Linked DNA regions of Anolis sagrei. The protein of the gene in region 2 binds, or shares a complex with, the protein of the main gene of each other region. Links are inferred from orthologs where the notes say so. Each region holds a gene or a part of one and is shown on either strand. Other genes may lie near its edges.

What was found. Proteins that work in one complex are often made in the same cells at the same time.
Region 1: SNRPG (region 2) and PLRG1 share a complex: the UniProt entries of both Homo sapiens proteins name them as parts of the minor spliceosome. The link is inferred for Anolis sagrei from reciprocal best matches to the Homo sapiens genes SNRPG and PLRG1.

The regions. Positions count from the first base shown.
Region 1 is NC_090025.1:52,016,724-52,024,172, forward strand, and holds the start of PLRG1 (pleiotropic regulator 1), read right to left. Parts: upstream 3,007-7,449; 5' UTR 2,856-3,006; coding exon 2,847-2,855; intron 1-2,846. UniProt on the Homo sapiens protein: Involved in pre-mRNA splicing as component of the spliceosome. Component of the PRP19-CDC5L complex that forms an integral part of the spliceosome and is required for activating pre-mRNA splicing.
Region 2 is NC_090027.1:20,748,023-20,755,261, reverse strand, and holds the start of SNRPG (small nuclear ribonucleoprotein G), read right to left. Parts: upstream 3,011-7,239; 5' UTR 2,913-3,010; coding exon 2,881-2,912; intron 1-2,880. Other genes in the region: protein FAM136A, read right to left, coding at 6,163-6,351. UniProt on the Homo sapiens protein: Plays a role in pre-mRNA splicing as a core component of the spliceosomal U1, U2, U4 and U5 small nuclear ribonucleoproteins (snRNPs), the building blocks of the spliceosome.

The DNA of each region.
Region 1 (7,449 bases), on a different chromosome or scaffold from region 2:
TGCTGCCTTGTTGTTAGCAATGCTTCTTAAGGCCCATTCAACCTCACTCCTCAGGATGTCTGGTTCTAATTCATTCACCACACCATCAAAGCTATCCTCGATATTGTTATCCTTCCTATATAGATCTTCTGTATAGTCTCGCCACCTTCTCTTGATCTCTTCAGCTTCTGTTAGGTCCCTGCCATCTTTGTTTCTTATCATACCAATTTTTGCCTGAAATTTACCTCCAATGTTTCTAATTTTCTGGAAGAGGTCTCTTGTCCTTCCTATTCTGTTGTCTTCTTCCACTTCCATGCATTGCTTATTTAAAAATAGTTCCTTATCTCTTCTGGCTAACCTCTGGAATTGCGCATTTAACTGGGCATATCTCCCCTTTTCACTGTTTCCTTTTGCTTTCCTCCTTTCTTGGGCTACTTCCAGTGTCTCAGCAGACAACCATTTTGCCTTCTTGGTTTTCTTTTTCTTTGGAACGTACTTTGTTGCCATCTCCTGAACAATGTCACGGACTTCTGTCCATAGTTCTTCTGGGACTCTGTTTACTAAATCTAGTCCTTCAAATCTGTTCTTCACTTCCACTGTATATTCGCTAGGAATGTTAGTGAGATCATATCTAACTGGTCTGTGTATTTTCCCTGATCTCTTTAGTTTTATTCTAAATTGGGCAATAAGAAGTTCGTGATCTGAGCTGCAGTCAGCCCCAGGTCTTGTTTTCACGGACTGGATGGATGTCCGCCACCTTTGGCTGCAAAGGATGTAGTCAATCTGATTTCGGTGTTGACCATCTGGTGAGGTCCATGTATAAAGCCGTCTTTTAGGTTGTTGGAAGAGAGTATTCGTTATACACAGCGAGTTTTCCTGGCAGAATTCTATCAGCCTGCGTCCCGCTTCATTTTGTTCTCCCAGACCATGCTTGCCTGTGATCCCAGTTGTCATTTGACTTCCCACCTTGGCATTCCAGTCTCCTGTAATGAAAATAATGTCTCTTTTTGGTGTATTATCCAGTAGGTCCTGCAGATCCTCATAGAACTGATCTACTTCTGCTTCTTCAGCAGCTGTGGTTGGGGCGTATATTTGGATCACTGTGATGTTGAAAGGCTTTCCTTGCACTCGAATTGAGATCATTCTGTCATTTTTTGGGTTGTATCCAAGCACCGCTTTAGCGAATTTCTTATTAATTATGAAGGCTACTCCATTTCTTCGATGTTCCTCTTGTCCGCAGTAGTAGATCTGGTGGTCATCTGATGTGAAGTGGCCCATTCCAGTCCATTTCAGTTCGCTGACCCCCAGAATGTCTATCTTTAGTCTTGACATCTCACCAATAACAACATCCAATTTGCCCTGGCTCATAGATCTTACATTCCAGGTTCCTATGGTGTGTTGATCTTTAGAGCATCGGATTCGTCGTTCACCTCCAGTACCGTCGGCCGCTAGCCTTCCTTTCGGCTTTGAGCTAGCTGCGTCATCACATCTGGGGCTAGTTGAACTTATCCTCTGCTCCTCCCCAGTAGCATTTTGGCCATCTTCCGACCTGGGAGTCCCATCTTCCAATGGCATACCGACATATCTCTGATTGTACTGGTCCATTTAGTTTTCTTGGCAAGGATACTGGAGTGGTTTGCCATTGCCTTCCCCAGGGATCACGCTTGGTCTGACCTCTCTGCCACAACCGTCCCGTCTTGGGTGTCCCTTCACGGTTTCGCTCATGACATCATTGAGGTGCTCAAGCTCCAGCGCCCCGACAAGGCGGCGATCCTTTGCTGGAGCCTTCTATCTTAACGTTCAGGAAACATGTGAAAACTTGGCTTTGGGGATTGGCTTTCGACGAATGAGCCATGACCCTGTGATATGGATGGATGACGACGAATAATGATTTTTGATGACGACTGACCACTGTAATCATATGACTGTATTTTAATGTTTTAGTGTGATTTAGAATATGATGTTTTAATGACTGTTTGCAATATGGATGTTGGAAACCAGCCTGAGTCCCTCGAATGGAGGTGAGAATACTGCTAAATTTTGTGTCAATTTGTCCAGTGGTTTTTGAGTTATGTTAATCTCACAAACGAACATTACATTTTTATTTATATAGATAATTACTACTTATAATATATAATAATATACTGTACTCTTATTGTATATTTGAATTTGTAATATTTTTGATTGTGAGGCACTTTGAGTCTCCATATCGAGAGATAAACCAGGATATATATATATAATTATATATATATACACACACACAATTGGTTTGGGAGATTCTGGAGGGGTGGGCAGACCGGGGAAGGAAGATATTGCAACTTTCGTTACCAGCTGAGCGTCTCTTATCCAGAATTCCTGAAATCCAAAATACTCCACAATGGTCCACATCAATGGCTGAGACTGTCACCTTCATACACTTTAATTATTTAAAATATCGTAAGCAAAATCACCTTAGGCCTATGTATAAGGTCTATACAGAACATAACTTAATTTCTTGTTTAAGCTTGAGAGATCTCGCTGCTTTTTTTCAGTCTAAGCCAGGCATGGGCAAACTTCGGGCCTCCAGGTGTTTTGGACTTCAACTCCCACAATTCTTAACAGCCGGAGGCTGTTAGGAATTGTGGGAGTTGAAGTCCAAAACACCTGGAGGCTCGAAGTTTGCCCATGCCTGCTCTATGCTGTAAATACAAATTATTCCGAGTGAAAACACGCCCAAGTGGAATAACAGATAGCAACGAAATACTCCTGAGACAATACAGAAACCACCAGCATCCTCCCGCGCCATCCCTTAAACTGGTCTTCATTCCTTAAACTCCGGCAGCCCGGCATTTCAATGCCCGGCCAAGAAAGAGTCCTTTTTCCCTCACCTCCACCATCTTGTCGTCTCGTCTCCACAACTCTTCCCGCCACAACGACCCAGCTCCTTCAGCAGAAGCCTTCCAGATCCAACGCCGAACCTACTTCCGTTAGTCACCACAGAGCACTTCCGGTGCTTTGGAGGTTTTCTTCTTTACCCTGAAGGAACTGACGACACTCTTCTCCGCAGCGCATGCGCAGAAGAACCATGCGGTCTTAAGTGGCGGGGAAATGGGGCGGAGTCCGGATCGACTACGTCATTCGCTCAAGGGGCGGGGCTTAGGTGAAGCCAAAATAGCAAAAGTGAGTTGTAAGTGGTAGAGATGGAGTGTCCTGCAGTCAGTTATTATTTGTATACCTTTTCCCTACAAAACAAGGCAATTCATCATTCTGGAATGTTTTTATTCCCATCCCCAAAATATATACAGTCTTAAAAGTATATAATTCTGGATTATATTTCTTTATTTTGCACTTTGCTCTGAAAACATTTAAAAAAATTGGTTCCAGACTGATAAACTTTTAAGAGTGTGTGCAAATTATTAAATCCATTCCAGAATAGTAAACTCTTAAGAGTGCATTGCATTATTATTATTATTACTACTATTTTGTATATATAGCAAAATTTAAATAATGTATAGTTTGTTTTAGGTGTATTTAAGTGTAACATCTATATAAATAAAAATGTAATGTTCGTTTGTGGGATTAACATAACTCAAAAACCACTGGACTAATTGACACCAAATTGGGACACAATACACCTATCAGGTCAACAAGTGACCATCACTGATAAAAAACACCTTAAAACACAGCAGAAGAGACTTAAAAAGACAGAAATAAGAATTACATTATACACAAAACCACATATATACACAAACTCACATATATACACATATACACAAACACCGAACTTGGAGGACAATCTTACTCGGACAAGGAGGGATCGCCTAAGTAAGTAAGTAAGTAAGTAAGTACACAAACATATATACACACACAAAACACATATACACAGACTGGGCCACAGCAACGTGTGGCCCAGGGGATGGCTAGTGTGTTTTATAGAAATTCATTTTATTGTAATTACTTAGGTGATCCCTCGTCCGAGTAGGATTGTCTTCCAAGATGGGTGTTCTGGCAGTGGGTTCGTAGGTGACTGTGGAGCCCTATTCATGATCTGCATCTTCTCCCACGGTGAGGGCATTGGTTTCCAGGTGGAAGGCGGTCCTGGTTGGGGTTGGCTTGACACGCCTTCCTCTTAGCACATTTCTCTCTTTCGCCCTCCATTCATGCCTCTTCAAATTCTACAGCAGTGCTGGTCATGGCTGACCTCCAGCTAGAGCACTCACGGGCCAGGGCTTCCCAGTTCTCAGTGTCTATGCCAGAGTTTTTAAGGTTTCATTGAGCCCATCTTTAAACCTCTTTTCCTGTCCTCCAACATTCCCTTTTCTGTTCTTGAGTTCGGAGTAGAGCAACTACTTTGTGAGACAGTGGTTGGGCATTCGGACAACGTGGCCGGTCCAGCGGAGTTGATGGTGGAAGACCATCGCTTCAATGTATTTTTAGGTTGTTATATTTGAAAAATGAACAATAAAATTATTTACAATCTTTATGTGTTACAATTATACTGTAACCCACCTTGAGACACAAGGAGAGGCAGGTAAGAAATAAAAATATATTATTCATTGGGGGGGGGGGGATTTCAAATAAATACATTCCTGAATTAAAAACTATTAAAAGTTGTGCACTTTTTGAAACAACAAGAAAAAAAATTTCCAGCATGATAAAATGATAATAGTGTCTGTATTTGGGGAATGGGGTGCAAATAATTAAATCCATTCCAAAACAGTAAACTGTTAGGAGTGTACCGAATTTTCTTTAAAAATGGAAATTGTTTTTTATATTTATTCAGTCGCTTCCGACTCCTTGTGACCTCATGGACCAGCCCACGTCAGAGCTCCCTGTTGGCTGTCACCACCCCCAGCTTCTTAAGAGTCAAGACAGTCACTTCAAGGATACCATCCATCCATCTTGCCCTTGGTCAGCCCCTCTTCCTTCTTCCTTCCTTTTTCCCCAGCACCATTGTCTTCTCTAAGCTTTCCTGTCTCCCCATTATGTGGCCAAAGTACATCTTTCTCTCTACTATCCTTCCCTCCAATGAGCAGTCGGGCTCATTGGAGGGAATGGTGCTAAAGGTGCTAAAGAGAACCTCTCTTTAGAATGGTGTAAACAACCTGATGTGGGGCTTCCAAAACCAGATGTGATCCTTTTTCTTCAACTGAATAGATCTGAAGCAGCCAAACGAGGAGACTTTGGAAGTGAGTGATATGAGAACAGCTCTTTTCAAGAGAAAGTTCTGCAGTGCTACTATGATTTGATATGGACTGGTTGGATCTTCTTGTGGTCCAAGGCACTCTCAGAATTTTCCTCCAACACCAGAGTTCAAAAGCGTCTATCTTCCTTCGCTCAGCTTTCCACATAGTCCAGCTCTAGTATCCATATGTTACTTTGGGGAATACCATTGCTTTAACTATTCATATCTTCATTGCCAGTGTGATGTCTCTACTCTTCACTATTCTACCGAGATTGGTCATGGCTCTCCTCCCAAGAAGTAAACATCTTCTGATTTCCTGGCTGCAGTCTGCATCTGCAATAATCTTTGCGCCTAGGAATACAAAGTCTGTCACTGCCTCCACATTTTCTCCCTCTATTTGCCAGTTATCTATCAGTCTTGTTGCCACAATCTTGGTTTTTTTGATGTTTAACTGCAACCCAGCCTTTGCACTTTCTTCTTTCACCTTGGTTAGAAGGCTCCTCAGCTCATCCTCGCTTTTGGCCATCAAAGTGGTATCATCTGCATATCTAAGGTTGTTAATGTTTCTTCCAGCAATTTTAATTTCAGCCTTGGATTCGTTTTTTGGAAATACATTACAAAAAAATTTAATAATGTATGGTTTGTTTTAGGTGTATTTAGGTATAATATGTTCATTTTATAGAAATTTATTGTATTGTATTTTTACAATGTTTATGTGTTTCAATGACACTCTAACCCACCGTGAGACAAGGAGAGGCAGATAAGAAATAAAAAGTTGTGCATTTTTTGAAACAACAAAAAAAAGAAACTTCTGGAATGATAAACGGAGAAAGAGAAGGCGAAAGATCTTGTAAAAGTACAACTTCTGTGAATCTCTAGCATCGAGTCCTGGCAGTTAAAGTGGTATCAGTGTAGGTAAACCGTTATTCAGCACAATTCTTTTTTTTTTTTTTAACCATCTGGCCCTGGAGCTTTATTACTTTTGGCAGATCGTATTGCCTCTTCTATTTCTTCTATTCTGATTGTTTTTTCTCATGAGAGCTGCAGAGATGTGTGTGTGAATGTAGGCATGTATGCATATGCATATATATATATTTGCATGATTTTAAACTTAAGCCACAAAAGGATGCTAACTCTAGCAAACCCTCTGTGGCCCCTTCCACACAGCTAAATAAAATCCCACATTATTTGCTTTGAACTGGGAAATATGGCAGTGTAGTCTTAGTTCAAAGCAGATACTGTGGGATTTTTTTGCCCTGATATTCTGGCATATAGGGCTAGATTGGGATGCAGAAGCCATGGCTGCCAGATTACTACCAGGCCCAATTCAAAGTGCTGGCTTTGGCCACTAGCTGCAGTGACAACCTCTGAACAGAAGAGTGCATGAGATAGCTATTAATTTGACAACTTGGGAAAACTAACAGATATCAGATAATCAAGTGGTGGAATTGGTCCTCTTTGAATTACATTTTAGAATGTAATGTCCTACACATATTTTGGAAAAGTGTGGATTAATCTCAAGTAAGTGTGTATAGGATGCCATCTTCATTGTTTCCATAGTTGTGATCCTATTCATATTGTGTTGGAAGTAACTTGAGTAATTGAGAGTTCAGGGTGCATGTACACTGTAGAATTAATGCAGTTTGACACCACTTTAACTGCCATAGCTCAATGATATGGAATCAGGGGAGCTGTAATTTTACAAGATGTTTTGCCTTCTTTACCAATGAGTGCTGATACCAACCTACACTTCCCATGATTCCAGACCATCAAGTCATGACACGTGTGTATACCCATCAACTGTACCCTCAGTTGATGGGTATACACACTTGCAAACACACACACACACACACAGACACACACATATACACATACAGGCAGTCCCCAAATTCCAAACAAGATGGATTCTGTAGGTTTGGTCTTAAGCTGTCCCATCCCCCCTAAACACACACACACACACACACAACCCCACCAGACCAGACTTAAAAACCCAAGAAAAGACACCATATATACATATACACATACACTCATATACATATACACATGCACACATTAATACACACATGTATATATATGCACAAATACACACAAATATACACATATACACACATATATAATACACATGCACATATACATATGCATACACACAAATTTGCTTATAGACAAACACACACATACATAATATGCATGTACACATATAAATACACAAATATATACACACACATATATACCCCCACATATATACAAACACACATATATAGACAAATATATACACACAAAACACATATACACAGACTGGGCCACAG
Region 2 (7,239 bases):
ACAAACCCCACATCATTTTCTCCTTGTTCTCCCTTTGTGACATATTAGAAGCCTTGCAAGTTTGAATAAATATGATAAATGCTCTGGAGCCACAGTGAAAAGGGGAAGCCAGAAAGACAGAGTTCCACCATGTCTCCTGGGTCATCAGTTGGGAGCCCCTCCCCCCCCCAGCAACAATATAGTAATACATAATACTAATATTGTGCTGTGCTAATATTATATATTGTATACACATATAGTATTGATAATGTTATAATGTAATGCAATATAATATTAGTAATGCAATATAATATTAGTAATACATTATAACAATTATATATTTCATATTGCATGTAATATTACTAGTAATATTACAGTATAGTGGTATAGTACAACATAGTAAGATACAATACTAATATTTATTTATTTATTTATTTATTTATTTGCTGCATTTATTAACCGCCGTTCTCAGCCCTTTAGTGCGACTCACGGCGGTGTACAATATATAAAAGACAGTTTACAATCAAGCCATAACAACAAAAATCAATATATCACTAATACACAGTTATCTAATTACACTAAAAATCCGCTCCGTCTTATAGTAGAATCATAACCAATCTCGTAATCCATATTCCGTTCCAGTTGTCATTTCCAGTTACTGTAGCACTCAGTTAAATGCCTTCTCAAATAGCCATGTCTTGAGGCTCTTACGGAAGGACATAATATTGTGCTGTGCTAATAATATACTATTATTATTTATATTACAGAGTCCCCTTCGGGGTGGGATAATATAAATAAAAATGTAATGTTAATTTGTGAGATTAACACAACTCAAAAACCACTGGACGAATTGACACCAAATTTGGACACAATACACATCAGGCCAAAGAGTGACCATCACTCATAAAAACACTGAAAAAACACAGTGGAAGTGACTTAAAAAGCAAAAAAAAAACCAAAAAAAAAACATTACAATGCATGCACATAACCACGCAAACACACACATATATATACAAAAATACAAATATATGCACACACAAAGCACAAATACACAGACTGGGCCACAGCAATGTGTGGCAGGGGGCAGTTAGTATTTCATATTTATTGTGACCTCTTAATAATAATAATAATAATAATAATAATGTATTGTTGAAGGCCATGAAAGGCCGGAATCACTGGGTTGTCGTAGGTTTTTTGGGCTGTACGGCCATATTCCAGAAGCATTCTCTCCTGACGTTTCGCCTGCATCTATGGCAGGCATCATCAGAGGTTGTGAGGTCTGTTGGAAACTAGGTAAATGGGATTTATATATCTGTGGAATGACCAGGGTGGGACAAAGAACCTTTGTCTGTTGGAGCTAGGTGTGAATGTTTCAACTGACCACCTTGATTAGCATTTGATGTCCTGGCAGTGCCTGGGGCAATCTTTTGTTGAGAGGTGATTAGATGCCTCTGATTGTTTTTCCTCTGTTGTTTTGCTGTTGTAATTTTAGTTTTTTTAAATATTGGTAGCCAGATTTTGTTCATTTTCATGGTTTCCTCCTTTCTGTTGAATTTGTCCACGTGCTTGTGGATTTCAATTTATTTATTTGGGGTTCTTTTACCCTGCCCTTCTCACCCCGAAGGGGACTCAGGGCAGCTTACAGAGGCAAGGCACAATTTGATGCCTGCATCATAAAAACAATCATACACAAAATTACATCAATTCACAGTTGACAACAATTCATGCATTATAACCATAAAATCAATAAAACCAATACAAACCCAATTTCTCCTCTTACATGGTCAACGTTCGCTAACTGATAGATCTAGTTTTACGTTCCACTTCATCAATCCTGTTGATCTTACTCGCCTGATTGTCTGATTTAATTGCCAAAGTGCCCAAAGGCCTGGTCCCATAACCACGTCTTCACCCTCCTCCTGAAGGCGAGGAGGGATGATGATGCCCTGATTTCCCCTGGGAGAGAGTTCCACAGGTGAGGGGCCACCACTGAGAAAGCCCTGCTCCTCGTCCCCACCAGCCTCGCTTGAGACAGTGGTGGGGTCGAGAGCAGGGCCTCCCCAGATGATCTCAAACTCCGGGGTGGGGCGTAGAGGGAGATACGTTCGGACAGATACACTGGACCGGAACCGTACAGGGTTTTGTAGGTCAAAACCAGCACCTTGAATTGTGCTCGGAACTGAATCGGCAGCCAGTGGAGCTGACACAGCAGGGGGGTGGTATGCTCCCTGTATGTCGCTCCAGTGAGCAGTCTGGCTGCCGCTCGCTGGACTAGTTGAAGTTTCCGAACAGTCTTCAAGGGCAACCCCATGTAGAGAGCGTTGCAGTAGTCTATTCGGGATATAACAAGAGCGTGGACCACCGTGGCCAGATCAGACTTCCCAACTTGTGCACAACTGGTGCACAAGTTTTAATTGTGCAAAAGCTCTCCAGGCCACTGCTGAGACCTGGGATTCCAGGCTCAGCGATGAGTCCAGCATCACTCCCAAGCTGCGAACCTGAGTCTTCAGGAGGAGTGTAACCCCATCTAACACAGGCTGTAACCCTATACCCTGTTCCGCCTTACGACTGACCAGTAGGACCTCTGTCTTGTCTGGATTCAATTTCAATTTGTTAGCTTCTGTGTTGGAAATTAGGTAAATGGGGTTTATATATCTGTGGGATAATGCCCAGGGTGGAAGAAAGAACTCTCGTAAATCAATAAATAGAAGCTTTGCAAGTTTGAATGGCTCTAAGTTTTTCGTAACTCTATGGGCGAACCCGGTTGGAGCAATGCATGCTGGGAAGCGAGTAGGCCCCAACCGGCCTAGCGGTCTTCCTCAGCCCGCTTCGTTCCCGACTCTTTCGCGTTCAATTCCCGGCCGCCCCACTGCCCCGCCGGCTTCCCGGGCCTTGACTCACTTCTTCAGCTCGGGCGGGTGCGCTTTGCTCATGGTTCCTCTTCACACGCCGCTTCCCTCACGCTCTCCGAATGTTCTCCTTCGCCTCAGCCAGCGTATGACGTCACGACGCTTCGCCCTACCAATCAGGAAGAGGCCGTCGCGCAAGCGCAAAAACTTGACTAGAGGAGGAAGACATAAACCCGCCTCACACTAACAATCAACCAATCGCTGCAGGGAGGAGAGCTAAGCTCCACCTTCACAGTCCTGTCTTCCAATCAGAGGTCTAGCAGATGAAATCCCCGCCCACTCGTTTTTAGAGGAACCTCCTTTTTTCCCAGAGATCCGGGCGGTCCTAATGCGCGCCCTTTCCTTTGTAGCAGCACGTGGGAAAGCTCAGATCTTTTCAGTGGATGAAAATTCATAGAATCAAAGAGTTGGAAGAGACCTCATGGGCCATCCAGTCCAACCCCCTGCCAAGAAGCAGGAATATTGCATTCAAAGCACCCCTGACAGATGGCCATCCAGCCTCTGTTTAAAAGCTTCCAAAGAAGGAACCTCCACCACACTGGGGGGCAGAGAGTTCCACTGCTGAACGGCTCTCACAGTCAGGAATTCTGGGATCCAAGAAAGGATCTTTTCCGAAAACTGGAATATGGTTGCATAACCATATAGGGACACCTGAAAGAATTCTAGATAAAAATAGGATCATCTTTAATGTGGCATATACATGCACACAATATATAATTATCTACATATATAAAAATGCTCTGTGCATAACGAGTATCTTTAAAACAAAAGAACCAATGAACAAAATCACACCAAATTTGGCAAGAAAATGTCTCACAACACAAGGAGTGAGCATCACTCAAAAATTATGATTTTGTCATTTGGGAGATGTAGTTGCTGGGATTTATAGTTAACCTATAATCAAAGAGCATTCTGAACTAAATCAATGATGGAATTTAACCAAACTTGGCACACAGAATTGCCATGACCAACAGAAAATACTGGAAGGGTTTGGTGGGCACTGACCTTGAGTTTGGGAGTTGAAGTTCACCTATATCCAGAGAGCTGTGAACTCAAACAATGATGGATCTGGACCAAACTTGGCACGAATACTCAATATGCCCAAATGTGAACACAAATGAAGTTTGGGGAAATAGACCTTGACATTTGGGATTAATAGTTGCTGGGATTTATAGTTCACCTACAATCAAAGAGCATTCTGAACTCCACCAGCTACTGCATTGGGGCAAAACTTCCCACACAGAACTCGCAAAACCAACAGAAAATACTTAAGGCTATCCAGTCCAACCAGGGAAAGAAAACGTAATCAAAGCCCTCCTGACAAAGAGCCATCCAGCCATAGATAGATATAGATATGATTCACACACACACAGAGATATAGTATCATAGATTTGAAAGGGACCCCTAAAGACGGACAATTCTATGTTGCATGTTCCAGAGTAGGCAAACCAGACACTCTCCACATCAACACTGACAAAGAAACAATTAGAAATACTGTTTACCCACAAGCATAAAGAGATTACATATATTAGAAACCAATACTTTCTCATTACTTTATTTTCCAGATCAACAGACTGGGCCACAGCAATGTGTGGCAGGGGACAGCTATGCGCAAAATCAGGTTATATATATTATATATTATATGTAATACACACACACACACACGTGTGTGTGTATATATATATATGTATATGCACATATATATTTATATATAAAGTAAAAAGGATAATATATATATAAAATATACATATACAAACATATTTGTGTGTGTATCCATATATGTGTGTGTGTGTGTGTGTGTATATATATATATATATATATATATATATCAATGTGAGTGAGTGTGTGTATATATATATATGTATATGCACATATATATTTATATCTAAAGTAAAAATGAAAAATAAGTAATAGTGTATGGTACACATACACACACGTGTGTGCATGTGTGTATATACATGCATCCAGATATAAAAGTGCAAATACATATATATTTCAGTTGAATATATATTTATTTGCACTTTTTATTTATCATATATATATATATATATATATATATGATAAATAAAAAGTGCAAATACATATATATTGAACTGAAAGTGCAAAAAGTAGGCAATATCAAATTTTATATGTATGTATAATATTAATATATATTATATTATAAATTAGTATTTCATTTATTATATTATGTATAATTAAATATATCAAATTATATATGTCTGTAGATATTGAATATAATATTTAAAATAAAAGTGCAAAATCAGGCAATTACAATAAAAATATCAAGTAGAAGCCAAGGTGGCTAAACCTGACCATATCATTTCAAAAAAAGAATAATGCTTGGAAAGGCCAAAGGAAAAGAGGAAGATCTGTGGATGATGGGATTATTTGAGGGACTGCCATAAATTCATGTCAATTTGACAGCAATTAAATAACAACTTCAATCCCTTAAATGCAAGGCTTGTTTCAGGTGAATATGAAGAATATCCAAAAAAATAAATTCGGAACACAACACGCCTGAAATCCCAGCAATGTAGAGTTTTCATGTTTTTTTTATTATTATTTAAATTCTTTAGAAAATATTTCAGTTTAAAGGGAAGGAGGAAAATATAGGAAATCGGAACAGCATTGGTGATTGTCAGTCCCAGGAGTCGTTCCCATTGGAACAAAATGCAACCGAATGCGTAAGAATGGCCTCTGAGCAGCTATACATTTCACAGCTTTCATTCATATTCTCCATCTTGAATGGCTGTCTGCACAATCTAAGGGCGTCCTCATTCTCATTGCACTTGTGCAGCATTTAAGTCTACACTGTTGAATTAATCCAGTTTGATACCACTTTAAATTCCAGTGGCTTGATGCAAAGGCATCTGGGGAGTTTGCAGTTTTGAAAGGCCTCCAGCCAGGCAAATTGGGGATTCACTGAAAAACAACTCCCAGGATTCCATCACATTGAGCCATGGCAGTAAAATTGCTGTTAAACTGCATTAACTCTACAGTGTGGATGCACCTTTGCTTTGTTTTTTTGCGGGGGAGATGTGGATATATCCATACCTATTTTTAATTTTGCGTACCATGGGTTAGGTACGGGATTTCAGACAGCACCAAAAGAAAAGGGCCATTTCTTTCCTCCCCTCCTCTCCATCACAGGAGAGTTTCTGCACTGTAAGGAAATCCGCCACCAACTCTTTTGCATTGTTGCCTGCTTCTGCATTTGCGGCCAGCTCCATTGGGATCTCCGCTGCAATCCCTTCTGCCTTTCCCTTTTTTTTTTCTATTGCGCAATCCCAGCCAGGTTCTCCTTCATCTTCTTGGTCATGCTGGGGATGAGGCTGAGGTGGTCCTCCACGCAGCGGGAGACGCAGTTCTCCAGCTGGGACTTGACCTGCGGCTCCTTGCTGCCCGAGTCGAAGGCGTCCTTGGCTTTGTCGTTGCAGTGCATGGTGCAGCGAGCCAGGCGGTCCTGGGGAAAACAGGGAGGGAGAAGTATTATTATTGGGTTACTAGCTGTCCCCTGCCATGCGTTGCTGTGGCCCAGTCTGTGTATATGTGTTATGTGTATATGTGTGTGTATATATATGTGTGTGTGTGTATATATGTGGTTTTGCATATGCGTTATAATACATTTTTTGTTTTTTGGCTTTTTAAGTCCCTTCCGCTGTGTTTTTCAGTTTTTTTTATGAGTGATGGTCACTCGTTGGCCTGATAGGTTTATTGTGTCTAAATTTGGTGTCAATATGTCCAGTGGTTTTTGAGTTATGTTAATCCCACAAATGAACATTACATTTTTATTTGTACAGATTACTAGCCATGAGGCAAGTGGAGTGTTTTTAATATCTATCTATCTACCTGTGGAACTATATCCAGGGTGGGAGGAAGAACCTTTGTCTGTTTGAAGTGTGGATGTTGCAATCAGCAAGCTTGAATAGCATTGAGTGGCCTTGCAGCTGCAAAGTCAATCAGTGAGGGTATATGCACAGAGGGAACCTGGCCTGTATTGCCTGTAGGCACCCTCTGTCTGGGAGATGTTCAGTGGTCTTTGTTTATACACTGTGGAATAATGTCCAGGGTGGGAGAAACCCCATATCTTTTTGGAAAAAGTGTGAATGTGAGCAAGCTTGAATAACACTGAGTGGCCATGAAGCTGCAAGGTCAATAAGTGAAGGCATTTGCATAGAGGTAGCTTGGCCTCTGTTGACTAGAGGCACCCTCTGTTTGGGAGGTGTCGACTGGACACAAAATATTATTTGAGAACACAGAAACCACTCCGACAACCATCAGGTTAGACTATACAGAGAAGCCATTGAAATCTATATTTCTGTTGATATTATTATTCTTTCTGCAGATATTT